4 linked regions of the Tamandua tetradactyla genome follow. The protein of the gene in region 4 interacts with the protein of the main gene of each other region in a pairwise test. Links are inferred from orthologs where the notes say so. Each region holds a gene or a part of one and is shown on either strand. Other genes may lie near its edges. The genes, in order: HSPB1, SF3B4, ENTREP1 and BAG3.

Region 1 (6,633 bases), on a different chromosome or scaffold from region 4:
GAGACAACACTTTGGAATGCATGTAAAATTAAAATTATGATTTGGATTGGGGAAAACTTCATCAAATAAATTAATTTTCTAATCCCCAATAAAAAAAAAAAAGAAGGGGAACTTCCCTAGGACATGGGCCTTTCTTACCAAGGAATCCTGAACCCTGGACACACCCTTCTGGTTTTGGGGTGTAACAGCATCTCCCCTGGCCTCTCTCTCCTCAGATGGGGGCCTGTGGGGACCCTCCCGCACCTCCTCTTTCCCCTCCCAACATACGCAGCAGCTAGGAGGCTGGACAGGGCTTTTCTGTTTCCTCTTTGCCTGGCAGAATTTTTCCCTTTCTTCTTAACCATCTTCCTGCAGCCCCAGACCCAAGGCAATGAGGCACAAGTGCCCGTGCCCAGCTAGGGTGTCCCAGCTCTGGGCCAGTGACCCCTGTCCCCTCCCTCTCTGAGATGCGCCTGGCCACCTGCTGCCCCTCTTGGAGCTGAGGATGCCCTCGGCAAAGGGGTCCCATCCTTCTCCAGGCCTCCCCTCCACCGGAGGAGGGCTCTCGGGGGGCCCACAGCCCGGGGGTGCCCCAGCCTCAGGGTCTCCCACTTCTGGCGCTGGGGGCTTCTCTCCCTTATCCCAAATCCATCCCAAGACAGGAATCTCCTCCCCACCTCCCGCAGCCCCTCCCCACCCCCACCCCCAGTCTCCTACAGGTTTAGGGAGGATTCCTACCCCCACCCTTTTTTCTCATCTTACTCTGATTTAAAGAGAAAGCAGCCCTAAATCACACCCAGGCGCAACAGGAGTGGGGGGTGGGGTGCCTCCACTCACTATATATACCCCCCCCCACCACTGCAGCATCAGACTGCAGAACAGGTCATTCAGGGGGCATGGGGGGAAGGAGGAGAGTGGAGGAAAAACTGTTGATTCATGGTTCTGGAAGGAGTCCAGTGGTCTCATTGTACAGATGAAGAAAATGAGTCACAGGGGGCCGGCCCTTGGCCAAGCTGTCAGAGTCCAAGACACCCCAGGTCCCCAGCCTCCCAGCTAAAGAGATTCTTTCTGCCTGACGGCAGGCGGGAGGGGTGGGAGGCTGCAGCACCAGTCTTCCCCACCGGCCCCCTGTGGTCCCTTCAGCAGCCTTGGGGGAAGGCAAGCAGAAGCCCAAGGCCTATGGGGTGGGGCAGGCAGAGATGAGCTTTCGGAAATAGACTCCCAGAGGCACACTGTCTAGACGCTTCTCGAAAGACCCATACAAACACACACACCATGCTATAATTACTACTGCTTGCATTGTCAGTTCCCAGCAGGCCCAGTGGACTGGCGTAATCCATCAGCTGTCAGGCCTCTCCAGGGAGATCAGACAGCTGCCTGAAAATTCTAGTACCTTCTCTGAGGCTGGGCCAGAGAGGGAGGGGCTGGCTCAACCACAATAGCAAAAGCCTGCCAAGGGTGTGGCTAGCATGCCCAAGGCCTCAGTGTGGGGGGGTGGGGGCTGGGGAGGCCGGGCATGGGGGAGGGGGCTGCTTTGGAGTGTTCCAGACTTTAGGAGAAGGGAAGAGAGGAGGGGCCACCTCCAATGCAGGAATCCCCAGACCCTACAGGGGGTAATGGGATGAGGGGACAACTATGACCTGTCCCTGTGGCTTCTGGGAAACCCTTGGGGAATAGAGTTGTCCTCTTTCTCACAGGAAAACTCCCCCTGGCAGCTCAGTGTCCGAGGACGCTGGAGTCACAGGTTGTCAAAGAGTTACTGGGTAGGTGGACGAGGGCAGAATGACATCCAGTCCCTGCTGCCTGCTAAGCCCTATGCCTGGGCACAGAGTACAGCCTCCTGGAGAAGTCTCGTGGTCAGAGCTCCTGGCCTGAGCTGGAAAGGACCACAGAGAACCTGGCCAAACAGGGAACAGGGGGTGCCCACCTCCTCTGCACCCTGGAAGCCCACAGCTCTCCCTGGGCTGCCTGGGAAGTTTCTCCCCTGCTGGACAGGGAATCAAGAGGCCTGAGTTCCAGTCTCTCCCCACCCATTACCAACTTTGTGAGGCAGGGTATGGGAACAATTCTGACCTTCGGTTTTCTCATCTGGGACTGCTAAGACACTCAGAAGCTGTAAAGCACATGCAACTTATTCTGTTACTATCCAACGTTAGAGACCCTCTTTCCTAAGTAACACTGGAAAATGCAGAGCTGGCAGGAGGAGAGTCTCAGCCCCAGGACAGGGGCAGCTAACAGAGGGAGTGTGGGAAAAAGAGGAACTGGGGGACCCCAAGCCAGGAGTCCCACAGAGATAAGAAAGAGCCCTGGGTACGAGGGAGACAAGAAGCTCAGCACTGCTGGTATTTCTTGGGGACAGTGGACATCACTTGGGGACAGTGGACATCATGCATTCGAGACCCACCGATGCCCTGCAAAATGGGTACATTTTGCAGATGGGGACATGTGAGCTTGCAGAGGTCACCAAGCCAGTCCTGTCTGACCCCAAAACCCAGTTTCTTACACCCCACACCCCACTCACCCACTCCCACGTGGCTCAAAGCCATCCATGTCCCCTCCCTTATGACTGGCAGCACATCTGCCCTGGTTTCAGCAAGATGAAGGGAGCTATGAAAAGGGCTTGTGTCTACAAAACGCTGGCAGCCAGGTAGGCAGCCCCCACCCAGAGCGTGGCTGGGCCTGGCAGGGCCACACTTGAAAGCACCCATGATTATATAGGGTGGGGTGCCCTGGACTCCAGTCTGAGCGAAGCTGGGCAGGCAGGGGCGGGTGAGGGCCCTCCTTGGCTACTGATCTCAGCCCGATTTTATAGAGCTGGGGATGAGTGGGGCTGGGAGTGCCAAAGAGCCAAGGCCTGGGACTTCCTGAAGCTGAGACCCTTGGGGGTGGCCTGTGGCTCCCTACTGAGACCCACTGGAGTCATGACATGATCCAAAAAGGGAGATGGGACAGAGAACGGGGTCCTGCCTGCCTCCCACCCTTGACCCCCCAGACCACTAGGAGATCAAAGGCCTTTCCAGAGGTGACCTCAGTTTTGTGACTCAACCCCAGCTCCTCTCTGCTGGGGAGCAGATGGATAAGAAGGAGAAGCACCTATGCGTCCTCTCTCAAAAGGGAAACTGAGACTCAGAGAGGGCATGAGACTTAATGCCCCCCCAGCCCATCAAGGAGAATGGCTGGGAGTCTGGCTCCCACCCCAGGCTGTCCCCTGAGTCTGGGCCTGTGCAGGCCAAGGGCTTAGTAGTCCCCTGCAGAGCTGGCAGGAGGAGAGTCTCAGCCCCAGGACAGGGGCAGCTAACAGAGGGGGTGTGGGAAAGAGAGGAATTGGGGGACCCCAAGCAGGAGTCCTACAGAGATAAGAAAGAGCCCTTGGTTTCCTCATTTAAAAAGTGGGGATAACTGGACTTAAGTCAGGGAGACGGAAGGCTGGAATGGGGTCACGCCTATGTAGGCAGGAGAAGGAGGATGTCAAGGGTATGGCAGGAGCCTATGAGCAGCCCCCTCCAGAAGTAGGATTTGGGGGTGTCGGGATGCCAAAGGATCAGCTAGAAGGGATGGGGTTATGGGCTGGGCCTCGGATGCCCAGCAAGTTTGAGCAACCACACTGCCTCGGGTTCCCCATCCCTTTGCACTGTGGGAATCAGAAGCAAGAGGCACTTGGAGCGTATAATATGCAAAAGGGGAAACTGAGGCCAGAGAAAGGAGAGGCCTTGCCCAAAACGACACAGTATATCAGCAGCAAAGGTCCGACTAGATTCAGGACTGCCGCCCTTCAGGTTGCCGGTCCAGTGCTCTTCAAGGAGAGAGAGACACAAGGGGAAGATTTGGCAGTGACCTTCCCCCTCTCTCCCCTCCTGTCATCAGACCCAGTGTTTCTGATCTGGGCCAGATCTGGGGGCTGGGGGCAGCGGGAGAATGGCCAAACCTGCACAGGCCACTTCCTCTGCAACAGGGCTGGGGCGTGGAGGAAAGAGAGTTTCCCACACACTCTCCTCCAGCCTCCTCCTTTTCTTCCATTCCCGGTAAACAATAATAATGAGTAATTATTACCTCCTGCCCCGAGCTAAAATCTTTCCTCACACCAGTCCAATGACGTCAGCATTATTGTTATCATTAATTTCTATTTTCCAGATGGGGAAACTGAGGCACAACGAGTCTGACGTGCACAGGTCGAATCAGTGAATGGTAAAACCACAGTGGGAACGCAGGCAGACTCCTAAAGGCTATCCCGAGTGCTTCTTAAGACATTTCACACACAGCCCGTGGCTCTAATGCTGGTTCTGCCACTCGCTGGCTGTGTGGTCCGAGACAAGGGGCCTGACCGCGCTCAGCTAGCTCCGTCCAGGGCTTTACCTCCCGGGCCTGCGATCGGTTGTCCGGAGGCGGGCAGTGCGCCAGCCTGGGCGCTCAGGTCATTTGTTTTCTTTACCGAGAGAAGTTTCCAGATGTGGGCAGGACCTTCCTCGTCCCGCCCCCGCAGCCCCCGGACGGTAGGAATGCAGGGGGCGGGGCCGCCCCCAGCCAGTCCTTGCCTTTAATAGAGACCCGAGACACCGCCTGCTAAAAATACCCGGCCCGAGAGCCATAAAAGCCCGGCTCACCCCGCGGCCCCGCACTTCTCGCAGCCGCAGCCCGACGCGCCGAGCCAGCATGACCGAGCGCCGCGTGCCCTTCTCGCTCCTGCGCAGCAGCCCCAGCTGGGACCCGTTCCGCGACTGGTACCCGCCCCACAGCCGCCTCTTCGACCAGGCCTTCGGGCTGCCCCGGCTGCCCGAGGAGTGGTCGCAGTGGTTCGGCCACAGCGGCTGGCCGGGCTACGTGCGGCCGCTGCCGGGGCCGGCGGTCGAGGGCCCCGCGGCGGCGGTGGCCGCGCCCGCCTACAGCCGCGCGCTCAGCCGGCAGCTCAGCAGCGGCGTCTCGGAGATCCGGCACACGGCCGACCGCTGGCGGGTGTCCCTGGACGTCAACCACTTCGCCCCCGAGGAGCTGACGGTCAAGACCAAGGACGGCGTGGTGGAGATCACCGGTGAGCACCCCCCACTGCCCCCGGAGGGCGGCCAAGTTAGGGGGCCGAGCGCGGGGCCTCTGGCCGGTCGACCCCGGAAAGGAGAACTGGGCCGGGGTGGGGGTGGGGGTGGGTGCCGGGAAAGTGACTGGAGGGGCCTGGGGAGTTCCGAAGTGGCCGAGGGCCGGGAGGCAGGAGCCCTGGGAGTTGGTCCCAGCCTGCCGCGGCCGCCTTGGGCGTTGGCCCAGCCCCCAGGCCTGGAACCTCCTGTAGGGTTCTGGGACGGGGAGCCCTAAGGGCTTTTTCAGCTCTGTTAGGGGTAGAAACGCCCTTTTCCTGGGGAGACGCTCCATCTCACCCCGCAAGTAATCAGATCTTCCTGCGCCCACCCATTGGGTGTGAGCCGCTCTGTTCCTGTCCCTAACCCGGCCAGTGCAGGGGGCGTGGCCCCACCGCTTCAAAAGGCATGAAACGAATGTTCCAGAAGTTTCTAAGGCCCGGGTGAATTGGGCTGTCCAACCCCTTCAGTCAATCAGCTCTGGCCTCGGGGGCCCTCTAGAGAGCAGATGACAGCCTGCCCTGGGGACGATGGGGGGTGCGAGAGACAGCCCCCCCCCCCCACCCCCAGCAGCCTCTGACCACCACCTCCCCACAGGCAAGCACGAAGAGAGGCAGGATGAGCATGGCTACATTTCGCGGTGCTTCACCAGAAAGTACACGTAAGTTTGGGGGCCAGACGGGAAGGGAAGAGGTCCCCAGGGAGGGGGACCTGAGAGGGCGTGCAGTGTGGGTGGATGTGTAACTCTTGCCTTCTTCCTGTGCGTGCCCAGGCTGCCCCCAGGTGTGGACCCTACCCAGGTCTCCTCCTCCCTGTCCCCTGAGGGTACGCTCACCGTGGAGGCCCCCGTGCCCAAGCCGGCCATCCAGTCTGCCGAGATCACCATTCCTGTCACCTTCGAGGCGCATGCCCAGCTCGGCGGCCCAGAGGCCGGGAAGTCGGAGTAGCCTGGAGCCAAGTAGAGGTCTTGGCCCTGCCCACCCAGAGTCCTTCCCAGCTGTCCCTGCCCGCCCACTGGATGCTCTTTTGATACGTTTTCTTTCTGTTTAAAATAAAAGTTGGGATTATCAGAATTTATTAACATTAGTGTCACTAAAGTTGGTATACAGCTCCTCACTGCTGAATTTGACTGGCTTTTTTTTAAAAAAAAGTAAAAGAAAGTTGGGAGAACTGCCCACCACTGCCTCAGACTCGGCGTTGTGGAGCCCTTGGGGCAAGTGCCACTTGCTCATGCACAGAGAGTGATTAAGAGAAGCAAATGATTGTAACCAAGTGATTAACTCAAGGGCCAAGTGCAGAACTAGGGGCACCTGACTCGGCCTTGCCCACTCTGGTACACCTAGCCTGGGGACAGGTGAACGGGGACAGCAGGGCCTGGGGAGACCAGCTTTCTGGGAGCGCACAGTCCTTTCTGACTTCACTGTCCTTGCAGAGAAGCAGGACCACCCAGAAGGCTGGGTGGAGGTGGGGTGCAGGCTGGCAACTCCAGGTCCCTTGCTGAGGGGCATAGCCTAGTCCCCTCTCCCCCAGGACCCACCTGTACAGAACGGGGCCTGGGTTCTCAGCGCCCCAGGGTGCCCTGCAGAGAGTG
Region 2 (7,283 bases), on a different chromosome or scaffold from region 4:
TTTACTGCTCCTTAGAAGGAGAAGGGGCAGGATCTTGGAGTCTGCCTCTATCCCACCCCATGATCTATCTCTACTCCCTTCCCTCAGGATTTTCATTCTTCCTTCCTTTCATCCCCTGCCACTCCAGGTCTTGTCTCCGAAAGGCAAGTGACATCTCAGTCTTAGTGACCGCCAGGGTTCGCTCTGTTGTACTTCAGGGTGAGTTCCTTGGGTCATCCCACGCCACACTTTTCCTTTTTCCTGTGCCCACCTAATTGGATTCTACCCAGGGAAGGAGACCCAGAAGGCTCCCTTGTCTCCTTCTAGTGTAAGCTTTCTCCTTTGGAGTTACTGTGAAGTACCTATGAGTTCTCTCACCCTTCAGTGCTACCTCCACCCTCCCACTATAGCTGTGTTCCCTAACACTAGGATTCCTGGCCCCTCCGCTCCCTCCTTTTATCAGTGGATGGTTAGGGTGGGAAGGGCAATGTGGAAGTTAAAGAACTGTGATTCTGCTTCCAGCTTGTGAAGCTGGATTTTTCTAATGGGGTGGAGTCTATGAAGTGAGTTATTCAAGGTCTTTATTTTCATTTTCTTTTCACTTCTTCTATGTGCCCTCTCAATCCTGCTTACCCACAACTTTTCACCTCTGTGCCTCTCATTTCTCCTTGCCATGTTTCCTCTTCTCATTCTCTCCTGCCCTAGTTTCTTGGTCCTGCTTCTTTGCCCCTTCTCCCTTTTTTATCACCCAGAGCGCGGTGATCGTGATTTCAATGGCCTCCTCTCTTCACTCGTCCAGCTGCTTTCAGTCCCTGAAGCTCGAACACTGCTTGGCTTCCAATCACTAGTGCAACGAGAATGGGTGGCAGCTGGACACCCCTTCCTGACACGGCTTGGGAAAACTGGGGCCAGTGAGGAGGTGAGGATTTGGGGGGGGGGGTTCATTTGGGGGTACTATTAAAGAAGTAAGGGGATGAGAAAATTATAATCCATTGGAGGAAAATCAGATCACAAAGGTTCTAAGATTAAGCTCAGGCAGGAGGGAGACCCAGATGACTGAGGCTCCACAATCCCCTACTACCCTCAATTCCGATTTCCATTCCCTGACCTTCTTAGTGCCCCTTGTTCCCTGTGTCCTCATCCTCCATCATTTTGCGATCTTGCCTCTTTAGGTCCGATTATTCCTTCCACACTCTCAATTTCTCTCTTCTCAGGCCCCAGTGTTTCTCCTCTTCCTTGATTGTGTCTGGCAGCTCCTCCAGCAGTTCCCAGCTGAGTTTGAATTCTCTGAGTTTTTCCTTCTTGCTCTTCATGACAGTGTCAGGGTTCCTGACACCCTGACTTTCCTGAGAGATACTCCCTGGGAACGTGGAAAGCAGGGTGGACAGGTAAGTGACTGACATTTTTGACTTGTCATTTTTTTACCCCATTGAGAATTACTCTCTGAAGTTGAGCCTTAGTTATTTTATAACAAGAGAAGTGAGGTCTGTCGGTGGGGAAGGGGAGGGTGATGTTCACTTAACAGACTGGATTTATGCCCTGCATCTGATTCCTGGCATAAGAGTTGGGTTTCATGATTTCTCTCTAGATTTGGGAGAGTTATATATTTTTTTGCTTAATCATCCTTTTCTTTTTTTTTTTTTTTTCAAACTTCCCCTGTCCAGTTCAACTCCTATACACAAGTCTACACCCCAGGATACTCCCAGCCCCCAGCTGGGAACTCTATTAACTCACAGCTGTCTGTCTGGGACTGGGATTTACGCTACAGCAATAAACAAATACTGCAATTCCAAAATCCTTGCTATGACCCAGAGTACCACCCAGATTCCTGGCTCCCCAGGCAGCAGGTGAGTCATCTAAATTTCCTGAATTCCTTTGACTTTCCCAGACTCATCCTAATAGGTAAGGAAGTGAGAAGATTCACTGAGTTCCCCTGAGGAAGTTATCCCACTCCTCCTCTACAGCTGTCATTTATGGCCCCTGACTGTTCCCAGGAAGACATAAACTCTAAAATATCATAGAGGACAGCCTTATTATCTTTGTCCTCATCTTTGATTTAATCTTCCTCTTATCCACAAATTTTACAAGTTTCTCTAAAAATCAACTTCAGTCATCTCTGAGGCCTAGTTTGAAGCTTAATGAGGAGAGTAAATAGAGTTCTCAGGGGACGATTTGTAGTTTCAATCGCTAGTGCAGTGAGAGGGGCAGCTCAACACCTCTTCCTGACTCAGTTTGGGGAAACTGAGTCAGGAAGGGGCCATAGAAACTGAACCTATAGAAACTGGATCATTTGGTTTCTAGGTTACCAATTGTTTTCCCTTTCCCCTGTAGTCAAGTTTCATGGTTCCTGGACCTCCAAGTTCTGTATGGCTTTTCTCTAGAGGGGCCCTGACACCCCTGAATCAGCTCTGTCCTTGGCGGGACAGTCCTTTCCTGCTGGCAGTCTCTTCTCGTTGGCTCCCTCGACCTGCTATCTCTTCTGAAAGCCTAGCAGACCAGGAGTGGGGTCTCCCCTCACATTGGGGGGCTTGCCCTTTGCCCCCTGGGCTGCTGCGCCCTGGATATCTGGGACCCCAGATCAGGCTATGGAGACGCTGCTACCTGAGGGGACGGCCTGAGATCCAGGTGAGAAAAGAAGATAGCAATTGGGAGTGGGAGAAAGGGCTTGACTACGGGACTAGATGAACAGGAGCTGGAAAGGCAAAGAGCTGGGGTGGAGTGGAAAGTGAAGTACCGTTCCTGCTGGTATCAAACTGGGCAGGTCTGGGAGTGTAGGGTGTGGGAACACTGCTGTGGCTTAGATAAAATAGAGCCTTAGGGCTCTGTTGGCAGAGAAAAGAGAATTAAAGATAGCAGAAGCGGACAGGTCTTAGAAACAGAGTGTGTAGAGCTGCAATATTTCTCTCTGTCCCTTTGCCCTCTCCCCAGGTTGGCCTCTCAGCCCCCACAGTCTGTGGCCTCCAGGATGAGCTATCTCATCTTCAGGAGCTATTAAAAAAGTGGACACCAAGAATATCTCCTGAGGATCACTCCAAGAAAAAAGAACCAAATTCCATTCTCACCCAATCCCATTGAAATTGCTGACTCTCTCACAGGTAGGACACAGCGAGGTCCAGGATGAGGGAAGGGTTCTGCCTAATCCCTCAGTTTGTCTTATCTGATTTTGGGCTTCAGTTTCCACACTCCAGCCCTTTAAAAAGCCAGTAGTGTCAAGTTTTTATTGCAGGTGGGTGGTGCTAGCCTTCTCCAACTCTTATTCTGCCCTGTTTGATTCCTAAAGACTTAGTTTTTATTTCTTGTCATTTGAGAAACTGAAAAGTAAAAACAAAAACTATCAAAGCAATACAGAAGGTGATTTCTGTTTTCAAGGCCAGTCTACCCCTCTGGGATAGCCAGCCCTTAAACTGACAGATCAGAGATGCTACTCAGTCCCAACAAGATGGCCTAGAGATCTCATTGCTACCCCCTCTTGCTTCCTCTTTAATTCCAATTACTATTTCTTTTTTTTTTTTTTTTTACAGTTTTCCATGGGAATGGGAGATACCCTGCCACCTCGAACTGTTTATATTTGTAGTGACATTTCTATTTAGGGAATTCATTAAAGCACCGTATTTATACACATTGCTGGAATTGTTTTGTTTGAACAGGTAGCAAACAGTGGTGGGTGGAGGGTGGGTGTGACTCGGGGGAGGAAGGGACTCACCATATTATCGCTAAGGAAAAAGAGAACCGGATCAGGTGAGGCTCTGCAGAATTCCTATGCTACTGAGGAAAATGGTTTTCTTCTCCGTGCCTTAGGGGCAGGTGGAGCTAGAGCCTGGAACTAATAAAGATGCTGTTACTGGGGCCCGGGCTTCGTCACGCCCCATCACTGAGCCTCAGGTTGGCCAAGAACGACACTCCCACCTCAGAATTTTGCAGTCCCCTCCTCTGAGGGAAAACGAAATACTTCAAGCCCAAGCCGGGACTGTGCGAAGGTTGCCTTCGCGTCCTTGGGTTGGTGGGGGTTCCGCAACACACCCTCTTCTGGGGAACGGATCTGGCCCCAACATATATGAAAAGGCTTGTTTCTTTAGATTTCGTATTTACATTTTCAGGGAACAGTTTAACCCTTTAACGCCTGGCACAACCTCAACTGGGTCTGGACATCCCGGTTTTGGTCATCCGGGAACCGACGCTCGCAGCGCCTCGCAGCGGCACCTGGCGCACGACAGAGAACACGAGCGAGACCACAACTCTCAGCGGCTCCTAAGATGGCCGCGGCCGCTTCCGGCCCCTCCGCTGTGGCCCCGCCCGCCGCCTCGCATCACGTCCGCCTCCGCCCCGGAAGTGGAAGTGGTGGGGGTCAAAGGGCGGGGCCAGTGTTTGGAGACAGCAGGAGCGCCTTCGCCATGGCGGCCGGGCCTATTTCTGAGCGGAACCAGGGTGACTGGAGGGGACGATCCCGAAATGGAGCGAGCGGGGCTGGATAGCCCCGACGTGGGCCAGCAGGGGTTCCGCCGGGGCGGATGATTTGTTACCCCCGGAGGGCGCGGGGCCGAACGCCAGGCCTGCTGGGGGGCGGGGGGTCGGCCGGGTGCCGCTTGGGGCCGGTAGGCACGAAGCCTTGTATGTCCGTCTATTCCGCTGCTGACTTTGTTTGCATCTAAGAAACAGCACACGTACACGTAGAATTTTCAGCAGAACACAAGTTTGATTTCAGAAGATTCTCTCAGTCCTGGGAAGAAGAAGGTTTAAGGTTTAATCTAACTCTAACATGATTTTTCTTTTTCCTTCTGTTGCCTTTTTGCTCCTATCCCCCAACCCCATTCCCAATCCCTCTGCCTTGATTCTATCGCATGTTCCTGTCACCCCATTTCCTGTCATTCTCACGCCCCCACCCTAATCTCCAGATGCCACTGTGTACGTGGGGGGCCTGGATGAGAAGGTTAGCGAACCGCTGCTATGGGAGCTGTTTCTCCAGGCAGGGCCAGTGGTCAACACCCATATGCCAAAGGATAGAGTCACTGGCCAGCACCAAGGTGAGTTACAAGGAAAAAGATGCTGGGAACAGACCGCCCCTGGCAACACTATAAACACTGTTTTGGGATGAACAGCCTGAAGATTCCTTTTCCTTTTTGTTCCTGGAAGCTTTTCATTGAAGTGAGATTTTTATTTTCTTTTTTGTTCTTTGTGCCTTGGGGTGGGGTGAGTTACATCTCATTTTGAATCTCTTCTCTTCAGTAGTTAACCTCTCTTCTTTTAAACTCCTCAGGCTATGGCTTTGTGGAATTCTTGAGTGAGGAAGATGCTGACTATGCTATTAAGATCATGAACATGATCAAACTCTATGGAAAGCCAATACGGGTCAACAAGGCATCAGCTCACAATAAAAACCTGGATGTAGGAGCCAACATTTTCATTGGGAACCTGGACCCAGAGATTGATGAGAAGCTCCTTTATGATACGTTCAGCGCCTTTGGGGTTATCTTGCAAACCCCCAAGATCATGAGGGACCCTGATACAGGCAACTCCAAGGGTTATGCCTTTATTAATTTTGCTTCATTTGATGCTTCGGATGCTGCAATTGAGGCCATGAATGGGCAGTACCTCTGTAACCGCCCTATCACTGTGTCCTATGCTTTCAAGAAGGACTCTAAGGGTGAACGCCATGGCTCAGCAGCTGAACGACTTCTGGCAGCCCAGAACCCACTATCCCAGGCTGACCGCCCTCACCAGCTGTTTGCAGATGCACCCCCTCCACCCTCTGCCCCCAATCCTGTGGTATCATCATTGGGGTCTGGGCTTCCTCCACCAGGTAAAGTTTTTTTTGTTTTTAAATTAGGAATAATTGTAGGTTTATAAAATAATCAAGCATTAAATACAGGATTCCCATAAAATTCCCCTATTATTAACACCATGCCTTGGTATGGTACATTTGTTACAATTGATGAAAGCTCATTTTTATAATTGTATTATTTACTAAAATCTGTAGTTTGACTTAGGGTTCACTGTGTTGGGCAATTCACTAGGTAAAGTTTTTCATTGAAAATATGTTTGGTGAGGTGTGGGGCACAAGGGAAAAGAATTGGAGAAAGGGAGACGGTGAGTCAGTGGGTGATTAGAAGGGAATTGGGGGTGATGGGTGTGGTGAGGAATTTCTTTACAACTTTCATTGCTGGATTCCTCTAGAAGGTTGAAGTTGTTTGAATCTAATGCTCCGTCTGACTTTAGAGAGCTGGGTAGAGAGGAAAAGCAGTAAATGTGCCTAGAGAGGCCAGCTTAGGGCATTCTCTCCCTACTACCATTTTTACCCTACTACCATTAACTCTTTTTTTTTTTTCCATTTCCTTTACAGGCATGCCTCCTCCTGGCTCCTTCCCACCCCCAGTACCACCTCCTGGAGCCCTTCCACCCGGAATACCGCCAGCCATGCCCCCACCACCTATGCCTCCTGGAGCTGGAGGACATGGCCCTCCATCAGCAGGAACCCCAGGGGCTGGGCATCCTGGCCATGGACACTCACATCCCCACCCATTCCCGCCAGGTGGGATGCCCCATCCAGGTAGGTATTCTCTGCTGGGAAAGGGAGGGATGATCTTGGCAGAGGTGTGCTATTTCTCTGTCACCACTCTTGTAACTGCCCTCTGTCCCTCAGAGCACTCCTTGTCTTTTATTTTATAAAAACATCACTCCTTGTCTTTTATTTTATAAAAACTTCATTCTGTTTGCCTTAACAACTACCATCCTAAAATTACCAAATCTTGGCGACTTTTCTGCTCCTTATCTGACTTGACCTCTGCTGTATTTGAAATTGGCCATGTCCTCCTGTTTGAAATTCTTGTCACTTTTGACTTCTGTTTTTCTGGATTTTCTATCTGTCTGTCTGACTCCTCAATCTCAGCCACTTTAAATAGGCTCCTTTTTCTTTGCATGTACCTAGGTTTTTATCCTTGGTTTTCTTTTTCTCCACATTTCCATAGTTTCGATTACTTACTCACCGATGCCTCCTAGATCTTCATCTGTATTCCATGGTTGTTGACACACTGCAGCCCCTGATCTTCTTGCTGCTTCCTGAACAGCTCTACTCTTCTATCCCTTGGGCTCCTCCACCCAAACATGATGAAAACTGAGCTTATTTTCTCCACCTCCCCTTCAAACCTACTCTTCCTCTAGCATGATTTGTTTTCAGATGTTTAATTCAGAAACCTGGGAGTCATGTTTGCCTATTTCCTATCACTCTGCTCTTAATATCAAGTCTTGTTAATATCTCTGGCATCTACCCCCACTGCCAGTAATCTAGTCCAGGCCCTCATTATTTCATA
Region 3 (7,968 bases), on a different chromosome or scaffold from region 4:
TTTGTCTATCTCTGCTCAGTGTGCCTTCCTCCTTCCCTCCCTCCCTCCTAGTGTGTGGGTTTATAGAACAATCATGCATAAAAAGGGATTCCCATCTTCTAACACCCTGCATTACTGTGGTTCATGTGTTATAATTAATGAAAGCATATTTTTATAAATATTAACTGTAGTCCATGGTTTAACATGGTTGTGTTGTGCAGTTCCATGGATTTTTTTAAAATTCTAGTACCATAAATACAACCTAACATTTCCCTTTTTAATCACATTCAGATACATATTTCAGTGCTGTTAATTATGCTCACAGTGTTGTGCTACCATCATCACCATCCATTACCAAAACTTTTCCATCATCCCAAATAGAAAGTCCACATTTTAAGCCTTACCACCCTATTTCCTATTCCTACCCCATCCCCTGGTAACCTATAGTCTAGATTCTGACTTTTGTTCTCTTAGTTGTTTTTTTTTTTAAAGCTACACAGTTCTTTCCCTGAAAAGTGTAAACAGTAATAATTGAAATCACCACTTACCCATCCTCCAATTCCCTACTCACCCCAATCTCTCATCAACATAGTACATCGTGAGAAAACGTGAGATCATGGAACTTGCAACCTTAAAGTTTACAACAGTGAGTTTGGGGTTTTGTCCTTGATATTTTGGCTCTGTAAATTTATTCCACACTGTGATTCACCAGCTTTTCTAAATCCCTGTTCTCTTGCTGGTAATCTGAGAACATACTATGATGGAGAGGATGGCTGACATTCAAAATGTCAGGCCTTCAGGACTCCAAATATTCAGCTGGTCCAGACTGACCCAGCTGAAGTAACACAAGCTGTCATTGTACAGATGAGGCAGTTGAGGCCAGAGAAGCTAGTGACTGGTTCAGGGTCATGAGTTGAGTTGAGGCTAGAACCCAGCAATCGTTCCTCTCCATTAGAAAGCAGTGGTCTCACTAATCACCTGGGCAGCAGTAACTGGCTAGTGACAGTGTTAAGAAATCTCCCCTCCCTTTGTATCCAGGAAAATGGCTTACTGCAAAGAACCACTCTTTCCCGTATGACTTCCAAAAGACTCACAGGTTTCTCCTTGTTTACCTATAAGAAGGCCAGACACAGACCCTCCAAATTTCCATTCTTTGCCTTATAAATGAATAGTTGAACCATTGGTTCCCACTGATCACTGGGAACAAGATGCTCGTTAGCCAGACTTCGGTTAAGCTTCTCTTTTACCTCCAGATCCCTGAAGTGTAAGGGTGCCTCCCAGAAAATAGGCAACATAAAAAGCCTTTCCTTAGATCATGTGACTGTATCATCCTGCTTCCCTACACCTGGCTCTTTCCTCTCTATAAAAGAAAAACCCTCTTTGTTCATCTCTGGAGAAGCTTGCTAACCTTATGGTCAGAGTGTTCTCCCTATTTCAATAGTCCCCTCCTTCTATTGCAACAACCCTTTTCCCCCTTTACTATCATGCTTTTGAAAGTCTCTCTTCACCTAGTTCAGATTTGTTTTTTTATGTCTTCTGAGTTATCACTGGAGACCAGCAAAACTCCATCCCAGTAAATGTACATCTAAATTTGCTTTCCAGCTAAATCCCCCTATGTCTTCCCCTTCCAACAAAAATTTTTGCCCTTAGTCCCCTCCCATATGAAAATTCCTAGATAAAAATTCTGGAGATTGAATAGTGTTATGCACTATTGTTTCTTTGAATCTGTTAAAATGGAGGTTCTCAGGCCTCCTCTCCAGAGAGTCAAATTCCACAGCTGTGGGTGTGGGGAGAGACCTGTGAACATGCATTTTACCACGCTCCCTGCATAGTTCTGTGGTCTGTGGACCATGCTTTGAGAAACTGCTCCAGTCCACCCTACTAAGTGAGAATTCCTAATGCCCAGTAGGCCTTAACTCAAGGAAACTCTTCTCTTTCTGTAAAATTTGTTCTGAGGATGAAGTTTCTTCACAGCTGCCCACTCCCACAGCCTCCTTGAATTAGCTGAACAGTTTGGTCTTTTGAGAAAAGGTGGGAGGAAGTGAGGAATTTTTAAAAGGTGTCCAGGGAAACCTGAGCAAAGGAGCTCCTGTGTGGTAAAGACTTTGAGTGCAGTGATTGGAAAAGGAGGTACAGGGAGGGGTAGATTTTGTGGGAAGTATAGAGAGCCTGAGTGGAATTTAGCCTTGATCTTGAGGAAAACTGGCAGCTGTGTCTTCCATAATTACTGTTTTCCTTGAACTTTCACCTCAATGAAGTGTCTGGGTCAAATTTTCCATAGGCTTTTCCTCATTTTATTTTTTTAAGCCATTCTGAAATGGCTTTGAATCATTCCATAAAAGCTTAGTTGCAGACGCCTTATACAGGTATAACTAGGGACTTACTGTAAGTGAGTGTTTGAGAATGCAAAGAATCGAGCCTCCAAAACCCAAATCCTAATATTAAAGGTGTTATTTGGCATAATCCTAAAGATTGGGGCAATGTCATCTCATGTTTATGATAACCAGAAAAAGAAACTCATGGACATAAATGTAGAAAATCTACAGTACAGTGCAACAAAAAATAAGTACAGCTATTGAGTGAAACTGTCTATGGATTTCAATTACCTCCACTATCATTTGTTTCTGTATAGGGAAATACACATATAAAATTTTTACAAGTAAAGTACTTAGATTCCATGAATTTTCACACAGTTAACTTCAGTCATATAATTAGCACCAGAACAAGAAACATCTTTACCAGAACCCCCGAAACTCACCTTTCCAGTCACTATACATATATCATAAAATTTGCCATACAATTTGGTGGTATTAATTACATTCACAGTGTTTATGGCCATCATCACCATCCATTACCAAAACTTTTTCATCAACCTAAATCATAATTCTGTACCCATAAAGCAATAAATCTCCATTCCCCCTGCTCCTCAGGCCCCTAGTAGCCTCTAATCTACTTTCTGTGTTTATGCACGTGCCTATTCTAGATATGTCATATAAGTGGAATCAAATAATATTTGTACTTTTGTGTCTGGCTTATTTCACTTAGCATCGTGTTTTCAAGGTTCAGACATGTAGCATTTATCAGAACTTTATTCCTTTTTATGGCTGAAATAATATTCCATTGTATGTATAGACCACATTTAGTTTATCCATTGATCTGTTGATGGACCCTTGGGATGTTTCCATAATACATTTTTAAAAGTACATTTCAGATGTCAAGGCGTGTTCAGTAGAATAGATTTGTGATGCTGAGAAAATTTTTCAAAAGTTAATCAGAATGATTGTATTGCGTGGTGTATTAAATCTTAAAAATTAAATACCTTTAAGCTTACGTATGAAATAAAGGATATAACCTCAGCATACAAGAAGTTTTTATTTAATGACTTGCAATTTAAGAACATACACTGTAAGACTTTTTTAAGTGCATGAAACAACAAACTTAAACATTTATTTTAAGAGATGGCCCCCCTTTCCTTCAGAATTTGAAGAGCAGTTTGTAAAAGAGCTCCAGGGGCTATTAATCACAGGTACTTTAATAATTCAAAAACTGTATGCAAACACATTGCATATCGGCAATACAGCACATGTGTGTTGAAGTGATGATAAAAATAAATACAGCCTTTACAAACAGAGCATAAAAACGGATATGTATTTCTTTGGTTTATTAGGCAGTAGATGGTAAATACCCCCACCCCCACCCTACTGATAAGATGAGCTGCCTAGACTGAGACTGGCTTAGCTGCAAAGTGACACTGCTCTAATCTTATCTGGAAAAATCCATTACAATCATTTTAGGTAGGACGCTTTCAAGCATTAGAATTCTTCCAGGGAAAGAGTATTCAAGATCAGGGGAAATCATTTTGAAAAGGCAAAAAAAAATTTTTTAACCTCTAAAGATGTCTCCTAAATTGCCAAAAGTAGTTAAGGGCGCTGATTACAATTTTATTTATGTCCTCGGAAGTCTGGGATTCTGTGTTCTATCAGGTGATACCTAATATAGCTCATGAGTCAAGGCGAGGCCGACGGAAAGTGTAACCCTTGCCACGCGCTCCAGTCCGCCCTGGGATCTTTCTTTCTGGATTTTGGGATAATTCCAAGGTAATCTCGTCTTTTCAGGCGCGCGCTCCAACCTGACACCAGAAAAACCACGTCCTCCTCCTTCTGCCGTCCCGGCAGCTCCGCCGCAGGGAATATCAGAAGGTCCAGCGGAGGCGGTGTAGGAGGCCCAGCGACCCGCTGCCCGGCCACCCCCGCCACCGAGCGGTGACTTTTCGCAGCCTCATCCTTCCCGAAGCCCTGCGATTTAGATCTGTTCTCTTGAAGTCGTCCTATAGCCCCTCCTCCTGCCGTCCCTACTCCCGGGGAGGGCGGGGGTGGGGGGAGTTTATAGTCCGGCTCCCGTCGCATTAAAGGTTGCGGGAGTTGAACCCTCTCTTGGCTGGGCAGGAAGCGGGTCGAGGGTCCACAGCATTTCTCTCTAGCCCCAGCTCTGAGGGCGCCGGACAGACCCTTACACAGTTGGCCGTCAGCTCCGACGCACCCTGGCGGCGGGGAACCTCCTAACTGGAGGGACTTAACTTAAAAAAAAAAAAAAAGAAAAAAGAAAAATCTGGGGCAGGGCACCCTTTCTGGACCCCAGGGTGCAGGCCCGGCTTGGGCGATCAGACGAAGGCGGCTGCTCACTTGCCCGCCGCGCGGCGCGAGCGTAGGGCGCGTGTGGATGTGTGTGGGTGAGAGCGAGGGTGTGCCTGGGGCCGGCCGGAGGCGGGCCCGCCGGGCGGCAGGTGGGTGCGGCCGGCGGGAGCCGGGACAGCGGCGGTGGCGGCGGCGGCAGCAGCAAGTGGTTGGACTGTACGCGTTTCCTTCCCTCCCGCTCGGCCTCGGAGCTCGTCAGCGGCGCCCGGTGCGCCGCATCCGCGGCTCGGCTCCGCGTCCCCTCCCTGCCGGCGCCTGCTGCTCCCTTTCCAGCCCGTCCATGTCCCTGCCTGTTGTGCTCCCGGGCTCCTGCTGCCCGGTGGCCGGGCTCTCGGGCGGGCCTCAGGCTGGGGGCCCAGGCGCCGCGGCGGCCGCCGCCCAGGAGCCTCCGCTACCCCCGCTGCGGCCGCGCTGGCCCCGGGCGGTGCTGCAGCCCCCGGCGCGGCCTCGTGGTGCTGCGGCTGCGGCCGCCGCCACCGGGGTCCTAACTGCGCCGCCTGCGCTGTCCACCCGCCGGTCTGCCGCCGCCGCCGCCGCAGCGCGGGGCTCGGCGCTTCTGCCCGCTCGCCCGCTGCTGTCGCTCGGGCTGCTGCAGCTGATCCTGGGCTGCTGCATGGTGGCGCTCAGCTTCGGGGCGCTGTCGCTGAGCAGCAGCCCGCAGGTGAAGAACTCGTGTCCGTTCTGGGCTGGCTCCTCGGTGAGTGCCGCGCGCTCGGGGCTCATTTCTGCAGGGCCCAGGGAGCTCTGGCAGGTCCCCTACACGGCCCCTTGGTTGACCTCCCCCCATCCCCCCGCAGCCCCCCCCCCCCCCGGGCTGCAGTTGGGGAGCACAACCCTTCAATCCAGCTAAAGTTTTAGGAGTCACAGAGGCAGGAGAAATAGCCGACTTCAGGGATAAACAAGATTGCACCTGAGTATTTCTGATCCTCGCAGGCTACAGGGTTTTATTGCCACTGGCAGTCTAATAGAATAAAGGAAAGACCTCTAGTACTTTGGGAGATTGGAAGAATGGGGGTGGGAGACAGGCAGGAAACGCCTCCAACGATTGAGTATTTACTGCATTTACAGCATCCCCGTTGGGAGGGTGGGATTTTGGTGTATTTTGTTCGCGGATGTTTCAACAGTGCCTGGCACGTAGTAGGTGCACTTGTGGTTGGATGAACTGACAGATGAATGGGAGCGCATACCTTGCTTTATTTCTCATTGAGACCCACTTATATCTGAAATGTATCTGGTGTAGTATGGCTCGACTGCATTTGGGGACGATTCAGAAGGTAATGAAAGGGTGTAGGTAAAAGCGCGCCAGTACCTGATCATTAAAGCAGGGCCTTAAGCCCCTCACTCCGTTCTTGGAGCCACGCAGTCTGCTGCGCAGAGTTTTAATTCTCGGAAACCCCGAACCTGCCATTATCTGTGAGCTTGTCAAAGCTCCAGGAGCGCAGGGCAGCTAGCTGGACATGTCTAGTTCCGGACCTAACTCTGCCTCCTCCCTCCTCTAGTGGGGAAGGCAGATCCTGGAAAAAAGGGTACCCCGCCTTCAGAGAAAAGCTGCTGCAGATTCTATCTTGTGGACGGACTCTCGATGGCCACTCATCCTAGCTTCCCGATAACTTCACAACTCCCAGATGTCCAAACCCTTGAGGTTTGCCCCAGGTTGAGAGACTTGGAAGCAAGTCTTGGTGGCAGGATTGTGAGAGATAAATATTTAAAGTAAATGACCTTTCTATGAATTAACTAAATCTAAGAGTCTGGCAATGGCCATAGTTTTTACTATGATCTGTATAAGATCTGTAATGAATGCATATTCACAATATGTAAAAACTATCCTTTTGAGGATCCACATAAACCCAGGTTCACGACCACATTTTAATACTAGAGGAAGAACTAATATGAACCAAAAGTAATTGAGTAAGAACATTAGGTTCCTCTAGTCTAACCTGACATTTATTACTTAAACCAGTACCAATTTGCTCTCTTTTTGAAATACTTTGATGCTGGATAATCTTTTGGTACATGAGGCTGTATTTATGGTACAGTCTTCCCTGTCATGAGTGAAGTTCACAGTTTGAGCATCAGGGAAACACACTCCACCCTCATGGCGCTGCCCCGGGGTTTTGCTATTGTTCTCTGAAAGTAGGACTTAGATCCATTATACTTCCCAGACTAAATCCAGGCAAATGGTAGGCACATTTCATTTCTCTGAGTACCATGTGCGGGTAATGAATCTTGCATGTATTTTTAGGAATCGGCTCTTTGTAAAATCATAATCTATTTGGAATTATCAAAAATGATTCCCCCTCTTCTAAAACTAAAACCCCCAAATAGCTTTCTATCGTGAATTATTTCAGAGGCAAATGTACTTACATGTCACTCAAGCCACAGCTGGATTTGATAAAATATAAAAAAGGTCACCAGCTGCCGAAAGATGAAGGCCCACCAGGGTTTGCTAGCTGGGTGGGTCCTGATTCCCACTCAGGTAATACTTAGCAGGACTGGACCAACCAGAGTAAGGAAAGAGCAGTGATTTGGAATGGACAAGATCTATTATTCTTAGCAGTTCTTTCTTAAAACCTACCCCCTCTCCGCAGGTCTATAGGCAGTCTGGTAATTTGGTTATTCTTGTTTTTTTTTGTGTTGTTTCTGAGGTTAACCTCAAAATTTGCAAAGAGGTAGCAGAGCCAATAGATACTGTGTCTACAAAACAATTAAATACAATTTCAAGAGGATGGCTGTATGCACAAGGATTCTCTTGGTGTTTCAGTAAAAAAAAAAAAAAAATATATATATATATATATATATATATATCTCACCAGTAGCATAGGTTTTGAGTTTATATATGTCAGAGGTTGATTTTTTAAAAAAATTCTGTATTATGGAACAGAATTTAAATTTGCACAAAAACTGTACAATGAACTCTCATATACCCTTTACCTAGCTTCCACAATTATTTCATCTCCCTTCCTGGGTCCTGCTATTGACCTCTGTAAGTGTTCTGATAAACTCCAGAAAGATGGGCATTCCAAGACACATGGGAATTAGATCCTTCATGCTTCTTAGTCCATTTGTCAGATTAAATTCCTATATTATTTTGAAGCAAACAGACATCACATCATTTCATCTGCGAATAATTCAATGTGTGCTTTTTTTTTTTAACTTTTTATCTTGAAATAATTTCAAACATACAGGACAGTTGCATGAATAATACAAAACCTATACAGAGAACTCTAGCATACCTCCCCCCCTGCCCAGATACCCAGATTGACCAACTTAATTTAACATTTTGCCACGTTTGCCA
Region 4 (7,787 bases):
GCCACATCTTGTCTGATCACTTCCCTATGCCCAGCACAGCCACCCTGCCAGACTCTGTGGGGTGCTGTCTTCCTTCCCTCACCACGCCTCCTGCATACTCACACCCACCAAAGCCTTACACCAGGCACTGGGCGAGTTTCACCAAGAAAAGCGGCGCCAAGCAAAGCTCTGCCGGGGAGATATTAAGCAGGTACTGCTTGGGAAGGAGCCCAGGGTCTACAGACAGGGGCACAGTAAGCAGCAGCTTCTTCTACAAAACGGGGATCACAGTCCTTCAGGGGCTCCCTGTTGCCAGGGTGGTAAACAGAAACCTGAGGGAGGCATTTTAAATTCAGAGATTCTTGAGCCCCACCCTGAACAATTCAGATTAAACATGTTGGAGGGATGAGATGGGGGGAGCAGGGTGGGGCTGATGACGCAGCAGGCAATCTGTGTTCTTAAAAGGCTCCCCCAGACACAGCCAGGCTTGGAAATCAGTGCTCACGACCTCTAAGATTTGGAGATTCGCAGCACTGGTCCTTGAGAGAGGAGGGTCTCTTTCTCCTGCCAGAGGTTTGTGCACGATACTCCAAGATACCCAACCTGTTTTATTCAGGGAGGAGACCAGGAAAGAGTGGTTTCCTGATTCCTAAGCAAATGCCAACCTCTCTGCCAGGAAAGGGGTCTGGATTGATAGGAACTTGTCAGGCAGTTCGTGGGAAGCCCAAGCGTGTAGAAAACTGAAATCCAGAAAACTGCAGGTGGGGAGGTGCCACAGCTTACAATGGAGGTGGATAAAACTCAACACCTTTGTCTCGAACCTTCCCGGCTCTGCAATGAAGGGTAAAACAGACCTCCACTGCCTCCTCTGAAAAACGGGGGTGAAAGAATCACTCTAACCACTTCAGGGGAAGGTGGTACAGTCAGCTGTGAGAAGATGGAGTATAAATGACTAAATAAAACACTAAGTTCTAGTCTTTTCCTTCCATGAAAGCCACCTCTTTACCAACACGGTTAGACCCTAAACATCCTGAAGCTGAGTCCTTGCAGAAAAAGTACTTCCCAAATTGCAGATGCTCAAGGAATAGCTTCTGATTGACAACACTTCCTCTTAAAGGTGAGGATGCTTGGAATGTCCTCTTAGCTGGGGCCCTTTGCTCACTGTGCATTTTACATTGTATTTAACCTTTCCCAGGATCAGACTTCTGATTTAGTAGCTCTTACTTTCTATATGTATTTTTTAAAGTAATTATTGTAATTCGGTCTGTTTCTTCTCCTCAAGAAGTTTTATGAAACTACAGCCTAACCCATCCACCCGGCGGGTACGGGAAGCAAAGCAGCAAGCAATCCAACTCCCTGAGAAAGTTCCATGTTGAAAACAAAGTGCTGGCAATTTGGGTCTCATACTGAACTCCCAGTGTTTGTTTAAACCTGATCTTCACTGAAAACAAAGGGTGCCAGCAGCTTCTAACAAGCCCATCTCTACAGGGAGAACACACAAAAAGGTGCATATAATTATGTCCAACCCAGCTAATTACACCTTCTAGATCTAATTTTCAGAAATAAAGATGCAATTAACTCCTTGTAAATGTAAACTGCTGAGTGTAAGATACATCACTTTTGGACACGAGAGTTTTACCAATATTTTAAAGGAAAAAGGTGCAGAACATCATAAAGGTCTTTCTTCTAAAATAAAGCCTTGCAAAGCATATTTAACTGTGACTTTTTAAATCTTCAAAATAATTTACCAGTTTCTACTGCTTTTATTTTGCACAGACAATATTAAGTTACCCTTTAAGTACACTATTTTTTGCAAACGTTCTATTTTGAAAAATTTTAATTTGTAGAAAATTGTTTCAATACAACTAATTATAATTTTTTAAATTACCAAATGTATAAAAACTGTCATGCTTCTAAGGGTTAAGAAGTAAATACTCTTACATGTATTTAGATGAAGCATATTTCTGCTGTATATAAGTATTATTACTTAGTTATTTGTGTATGGGAAACAAATCCTAAATATTTTAATGCCATTACAAGGAAGGGAACACATACCATTAAAACAAACAAAAATCATCATTCTCTTTCTCTCCAGTTGAGGCGAAGTCTTAAGGGAAGGGCCAACTGCCTGGAAGAACAGCATCTTGTTTTTAACAAATCACACTGAAACTCAATGTTACTCAAAAAAATCCTCAAACAACGATACAACAGTAATTTTAAAAAGAAAAAAAAAGAGACTACTTATATCAGCGTCCTGAGTCACTCTGTCCGCGAACCGGGAGAGTAAGGTCAAAATAACTGTCAACCAAGTTGTCCAGAAGTAGAGGGGGAAATTCGGAAAAGCCCATCCCCCAGGCACCAGGGGTCGGCGGATGAGAGAACCTTCCAGTAACGACTATCTCAGGACGCGGAGCAGAGCCGGCGGCAGGGCCGGGCCCAGGCCTCCCGCTGACCAGGCCCGCCGCCCCTTCCGAGCCCGGGAACTTGGGGACAGCTCTTGACGCCCATGCCTCCACCCCGTCCCGGGTCGCACTTCCCCGTCCCCCTCAATCCCCTCGCAAAATCAAACGCGGCGCGGTGAGGACTGACCTCTCCGGGGCACTCCGTCACCCCCACGCCTCTCAAGGCCTGGCCAAGCGCAGCAGGGCGAGCTCGGGGTGGGATGCCCCGACCCCCGGTGCAGGGACCTGGGAGCTGGGGCCAGCCCCGCGCTCGCCCAACCCAGTCCAGCCGCCGCCGGGCCGGGCCTGTTCCCCCGTCGAGGTGGGGCCGCCGGCCGGGGCGTGGCGCGGGTCCGGCTCACCTTGGGGCCCTCGGGGGGCACGCGCGGGTCGTTCCACGTCGTGGTGCGGCTGTTGTGGTCCACGAAGAAGGGCCAGCCGGTCTGCGGGTCGATCTTGATCTCCCAGCCCGGAGGCAGCGGGTCGCGGTCGCCGGCGCTGTTGCCGGACGCCATCTGCACCATGGGCGAGTGGGTGGCTGCGCTCATGCTGGGCGCGGGGTTGGCTCGGAGTGGCGGCCGCCGGAGCGCGGAGTGCGGGGTCCCCGAGGGCTGGGGCGCGGGATCCCGGGTCGCGGGGTGCCGGCCTCCTGGGCGCCGAGTCGCTGGGCCGCCGCTGCGAGGACCTCGCCGCCGCCGGAGTGTGAGCCTTGCGCGCCGCCGACGTGTCCGGGAAGCCGGCGCCGGGCACCTTTATGAATTAAAGGAGGGGGTGACGTGGCCTGAGAGGGGTGGAAGGGTCTGGAAATAGCTTCCTCACTGCCAAAGGGGAAGGAGGAGATAAAGGGACGTAGCAACTGGCCGGGTAGAAACTTCTGGTCCCATCCAGAGAACTTGGCGGCGCCCGCGGGTTGGATGCGGAGCTCCGCCCTGAGTCATCGGCTCTAATCATGGCGCGGCGTGGCGCGGCGGGGCGGGGCCTCGGGGCGGGGCCTGGGGGGGGGCCGGCCGCCCCTCCTCCCACCCGGAGCCCTCCTTCCTCCTCTTTTCCCTCCTTGGGGCTGCCCGGCAGAGGTCGCCCGGGGGTGAGCGACGACGCCTTCGCGACATTCGCCTGCTGGTGGTCAGCTGGGTCCGCGGGCCCCGCCCGGGGGCGTCCTCCGGTGTCCCCAGGACCGGTTTCGGTTTTCAGACTGCTTTGCGCCGCGTGGGTGTTCCTCGCAGGGGTGGGAGTCCGCGCTGCGTGGCGGCTGCCCCACCTTCGTATAGAAACGAAGGCATTGTGAACCTTCTGGGTGGTTTTTAGCTACAGTTCTCTCACTCCCCCCCGCTGCCCCCCGCCCCAATACACTGATATTAGGAAAATCATGTGCTTTCCTGGGGCCCGGGGACTGATAGGGAGGAGTTCTGGAAGACTGCTCTGACACCATCAACAAAGTCAGGCAGAAAATGTAAGTGCCATGGAAACTCACCTGCCTTCTTTTTTGAAACCTGAAGAAGGAAAAACCATGGTTTTATTCTCTTTGAATCTTATGTCTCAAATACAGAAACTCTCATTGCAGTGAACAATTCTAAAGAAAAGTCACATATAAAAAATTGTGGTAACATGTACCCAACATTTTCCACTTTAACCGCTTTCAAGTATACAATACAGTGGTGTTAATTACATTCACAATGTTGTGCTACCATCACTACTGTCCCTTGCCAAAATCTTGACATCACCCTAACAGGAGCTGTACCCAAGCCTTAATTACCTATTCCCCACCCCTCCACCATCCTGGTCCCTCTAATTTATTATTTTTTTAAAGTAGAGTTTGGTTTTTGCTACCAGATTGAAAGATAAAATTGCAAATTGTGACCTCTATTTGGGAAGTAGGGGCCAAATCTTTTTTACCAGTAAAAAGATTTGTTCGGTTGATTAAAAGGTGGTTGCATTTGTAACCTCAACTAAGCACCCTGAGTCACCTGGGAGGTCTTTGCCCAGAAAAGAGAATGTTTGGGAGGTTCCATTTTATATCTTTGGGCATGCAGACTCATTCACTGGGAAGCTTTTTTGGACTAATGTTAGGCCCAATTTTCCAACTCAGATTCAGAGAATATCCTGGAACTCTAAGAGACCCCCTTGCCTCTCCCTATGCTTAGCTCACTCCTTCTAGAGCTAGGAAGGCCTATCAATCATTTCCAGTGGAATGATCACCACTTACAAAGGTATACTTAGCAGCTTTGAAGTCCCAAAATTCAATTTTGTGAAAACATGCAGGTGATTTAGACTACAAGGACTGTGTCGGCTCACCAAACATACAAGAGACTGATGTATAAACCCGAATGCCATGCACTGATTTACCATGAGAAATATTACTGTTGAAGGCCCTGGACCCTCATGTCACTCGTGGTGTCTAATGTGTCTTCATATCTGAAGCCCTGAGCACAAGGCTGGGTCCAGAATCCATATTCAGTAAATGTTGATGTTCATTGAAGAGGAATCCAAAGTGAGTTTTTATTCCTATTTCCTTTGCTCAATTTACTTTCCACTACAGTGTGAGTTTAAGTACTGACGGCATTCTTTGCTGATCTTTTTTTTCCTTTCCTTTTCTTCTTTTGCTAGACAGAAGCAGGGAGGAAGCAAGTTTCTCTGGAACTAACCTAATTGCTTCTGAGGGTTGTGTGCCACGAGGGACTTATGGATTTGTCTAAAACAGAGCCCTGAGTCTTAAAAGCTGGTTAGAAGTTTCTTCAGGCTATGCTTTATTACAGATTTCTTGTAGAATTTCTCACTGGTAAGAGTAACCTCTGTCTTAATCCAGAAGCCTGTGACATAGCCTCAATGGGAGGCCTCAGATACACAGACCAGAAAAAAGAATAAAACTTGGGTATTTCTTCACCGAGTTCCAGACAGTGAGTCTTGACTTTTGCTCAGATTTTCCCATCAGCTTTAGCCACTGCTCCAGAGTTCAGAAAGATGTAACCAGATGAGTTACATGGGGAGACTTGGTTAGAGGGTTTCTTGCCACCAAATGAGACAGAGTCCTGCTTTCCATCCTGTCTCTCCTGGAAGAACTTACTGTATTGCTTATTGACCACAATATACTTGGTAAGTTATTTTACAGAGAGAAAGGGAACACGGTATTGTTTGTTTTATGGAATAATCTGAGGGATTACATATCAAATCAACTAACTCCAAAGCTTGAGTAACTAGAATTTCTTCTATTTTCGTGGGGGAAAAAACCCCAAAAAACAAAAACAAAAAACACGCTGATATTGCCAGTCTAAGGGTATTGCCTTTCCCAGAATCACTCTGTGTAGTTCTCTGTCGTATGCCTGTTAAAAAGTCAGGAATTGTTTTCTTTTTCTGTGTCTTCTGTTGTACTGTGAGCTCCTTGAGAGCAGGAACTGGCTTTTATTCTTCTTGGTATCATCAGGACCTAGTGCCTGGCATATCAAAGTTGCTTAATAAATGCTTAAGTGAATGAGATGATATCAGTTAATGATTCCAAAAGTCCATCCAGCATGCCTTGGGGTAGCCCTAATTTAGCTTAGTCCTTTATAGCTATAAAGTTCCACAAGACAAGTAAATATTCACAATGATGAATGCAAAGTACCTTCACATCCATCTAAGAAAGGTAAAATTGAATACAAAATAGTTGGGTTATTTTACAAAATTTGGTAATTCAGATAACTAACAAACCAGATTACTTTTATTGAATACATACCATGGTCTCTTCCCTTTAGGGAATGTATAGTCTACTTTGTGTGTTTATGTTATTTATTACATTATATAGTATCCATTATATACTATGTGTATTAGTCAGGGTTCTCTTGGGAAACAGAACCAACAGGAGATATCTGTAAATATGAGATTTTACAAAGTATCTCACACAACTGTGGGGATGCAGGAATCCAAATTCCATAGGGCAGGTTGCAAACTGGCAATTCTGATGAAGGTTTTCAATGAATTCTCCAGGAGAGGCTGGCTGGCTGAGGTAGAGATAAAAGTTCTCTCTTCTGACTGCTGAAGTCTCACCTCTCCCTTAATAGCCCCCCAACTGACTGAATTAAATCCAGCTGATTGGATTCTCCAATTGGGGAAGACACCCCCCTTAGTTGATCAAAGATGTAATCAGCCATAGGTGCAATCAACTGACTGATAATTTCAGTCCACAAAATATCCTTGTAGTAATAGTTAGGCCAGTGCTTGCTTGACCAGACAACTGGGCGTCATCATCTGGCCAACTTGACAAATAATCCTAACCATCACACTATGTTATATATATATATATTTAAATCAAAGTAGCAATTTCTCCAGTCTTAGGGTACACATTCCCCAAGATTTCTGAAGTTTATTTTCCCAGCCTGAGCTTCACCCTGGATTCCTTCTTCTCTCCTACTATCCAATCATCACCAAGTCTGTAGACTCCACCTCTTAAATGTTCCTTGACTCTGTCAATTCTCCTCTATCTTCATTGCCACCAGCCTGGCCCAGTTCACCCTCATCTCTCATCTGGATTCCAGCAGCAGCCTCCTAATGGGTCTCCAGCCTCAAGTCTTGTTCATCTCCCCTCCATGACCCACAAGGAAGCCACAGTGACCTTTTTCAAGCGCAAAATGGGTGGTGTCCTTTCTCTGAGTAGATCCTTTGATGGCTCCTGGTTGCATTCTGTATACCAAAGTCCAAACTCCTTGGCCTGGTGTACCCAGGTCCTTCCCCCCTCCACCCCCATCCCCAGTGTTCACTATGTACCCACCCTGCTGAATTAAATCATGCACACCCTGCGCTTTCTTTTGCCTCCACACACGCTTCTTCCTCCACCTGGGTACCTTCTCTCCCACCCCCATCTACCTCCCACTCCCTTGGCCTGACTCCTCTTGGTCTTCAAGTCTTTGGCATCCCTTCCCTCATCCTAGTCTGCATCTTGTGTCCTTTCTAAGTACTCTCGTGCAAATCTTGTGTCACCCTTTCAGCTACATGCATGGCAGTTGTTTGTCTGATTGTCCGATTTGTCATGGATTAATTCTCTTGAGGTCAGGGGCAGACCCTTCATCTCCACTGTTTCTCTACCATCTATTATGGGGGGCAAATAATAGTAAAAACAACAATGAAAATTGTAATGGCTATGATTTACTGAGTGTGCTTACTGTATTCTGGGTACTCTGTTAAAGGTTTTATGTCAATGATCTCATTTAATCTTTGGGAGGAGGCTGTGATGCAAGTCTTATTCCCACAGTTGCAAAGTGCTGCAGGAAGACTACGCGCCCTTGTCAGTCCCCTTTGGGGATTGGCTCAGTTGAAGAAAACTGCCTTCCCCAAGCAGTCTGGAAGCCTCCCAATGGCTTGTGTACAGAGGGTTATGTATAAAGGTCCAGGCCGTTT

Evidence for each region.
Region 1: the proteins of BAG3 (region 4) and HSPB1 interact in binary tests that used the Homo sapiens proteins (3 or more experiments, as listed by UniProt). The link is inferred for Tamandua tetradactyla from reciprocal best matches to the Homo sapiens genes BAG3 and HSPB1.
Region 2: the proteins of BAG3 (region 4) and SF3B4 interact in binary tests that used the Homo sapiens proteins (3 or more experiments, as listed by UniProt). The two-hybrid records come from large-scale screens. The link is inferred for Tamandua tetradactyla from reciprocal best matches to the Homo sapiens genes BAG3 and SF3B4.
Region 3: the proteins of BAG3 (region 4) and ENTREP1 interact in a two-hybrid assay, tested with the Homo sapiens proteins (2 studies listed by BioGRID and IntAct). The link is inferred for Tamandua tetradactyla from reciprocal best matches to the Homo sapiens genes BAG3 and ENTREP1.

Annotation. Positions count from the first base shown.
Region 1 is NC_135349.1:10,412,015-10,418,647, reverse strand, and holds HSPB1 (heat shock protein beta-1), read left to right. Parts: upstream 1-4,447; 5' UTR 4,448-4,629; coding exon 4,630-5,005; intron 5,006-5,639; coding exon 5,640-5,703; intron 5,704-5,814; coding exon 5,815-5,989; 3' UTR 5,990-6,119; downstream 6,120-6,633. UniProt on the Homo sapiens protein: Small heat shock protein which functions as a molecular chaperone probably maintaining denatured proteins in a folding-competent state. Plays a role in stress resistance and actin organization.
Region 2 is NC_135330.1:5,899,218-5,906,500, forward strand, and holds the start of SF3B4 (splicing factor 3B subunit 4), read left to right. Parts: upstream 1-4,280; 5' UTR 4,281-4,370; coding exon 4,371-4,404; intron 4,405-4,413; exon of another isoform or gene 4,414-4,717; intron 4,718-4,871; coding exon 4,872-5,000; intron 5,001-5,233; coding exon 5,234-5,776; intron 5,777-6,316; coding exon 6,317-6,523; intron 6,524-7,283. Other genes in the region: MTMR11 (myotubularin-related protein 11), read left to right, coding at 128-198, 732-898, 1,194-1,367, 1,644-1,826, 2,311-2,604, 2,908-3,054. UniProt on the Homo sapiens protein: Component of the 17S U2 SnRNP complex of the spliceosome, a large ribonucleoprotein complex that removes introns from transcribed pre-mRNAs.
Region 3 is NC_135328.1:99,190,852-99,198,819, forward strand, and holds the start of ENTREP1 (endosomal transmembrane epsin interactor 1), read left to right. Parts: upstream 1-4,953; coding exon 4,954-5,370; intron 5,371-7,968. UniProt on the Homo sapiens protein: Functions as an activator of the E3 ubiquitin protein ligase ITCH in the ubiquitination of the CXCL12-activated CXCR4 receptor. Thereby, triggers CXCR4 endocytosis and desensitization, negatively regulating the CXCL12/CXCR4 signaling pathway.
Region 4 is NC_135339.1:82,090,665-82,098,451, reverse strand, and holds the start of BAG3 (BAG family molecular chaperone regulator 3), read right to left. Parts: upstream 3,005-7,787; 5' UTR 2,969-3,004; coding exon 2,783-2,968; intron 2,610-2,782; exon of another isoform or gene 2,569-2,609; intron 2,535-2,568; exon of another isoform or gene 2,038-2,534; coding exon of another isoform or gene 2,035-2,037; intron 1-2,034. UniProt on the Homo sapiens protein: Co-chaperone and adapter protein that connects different classes of molecular chaperones including heat shock proteins 70 (HSP70s), e.g. HSPA1A/HSP70 or HSPA8/HSC70, and small heat shock proteins (sHSPs), e.g. HSPB8.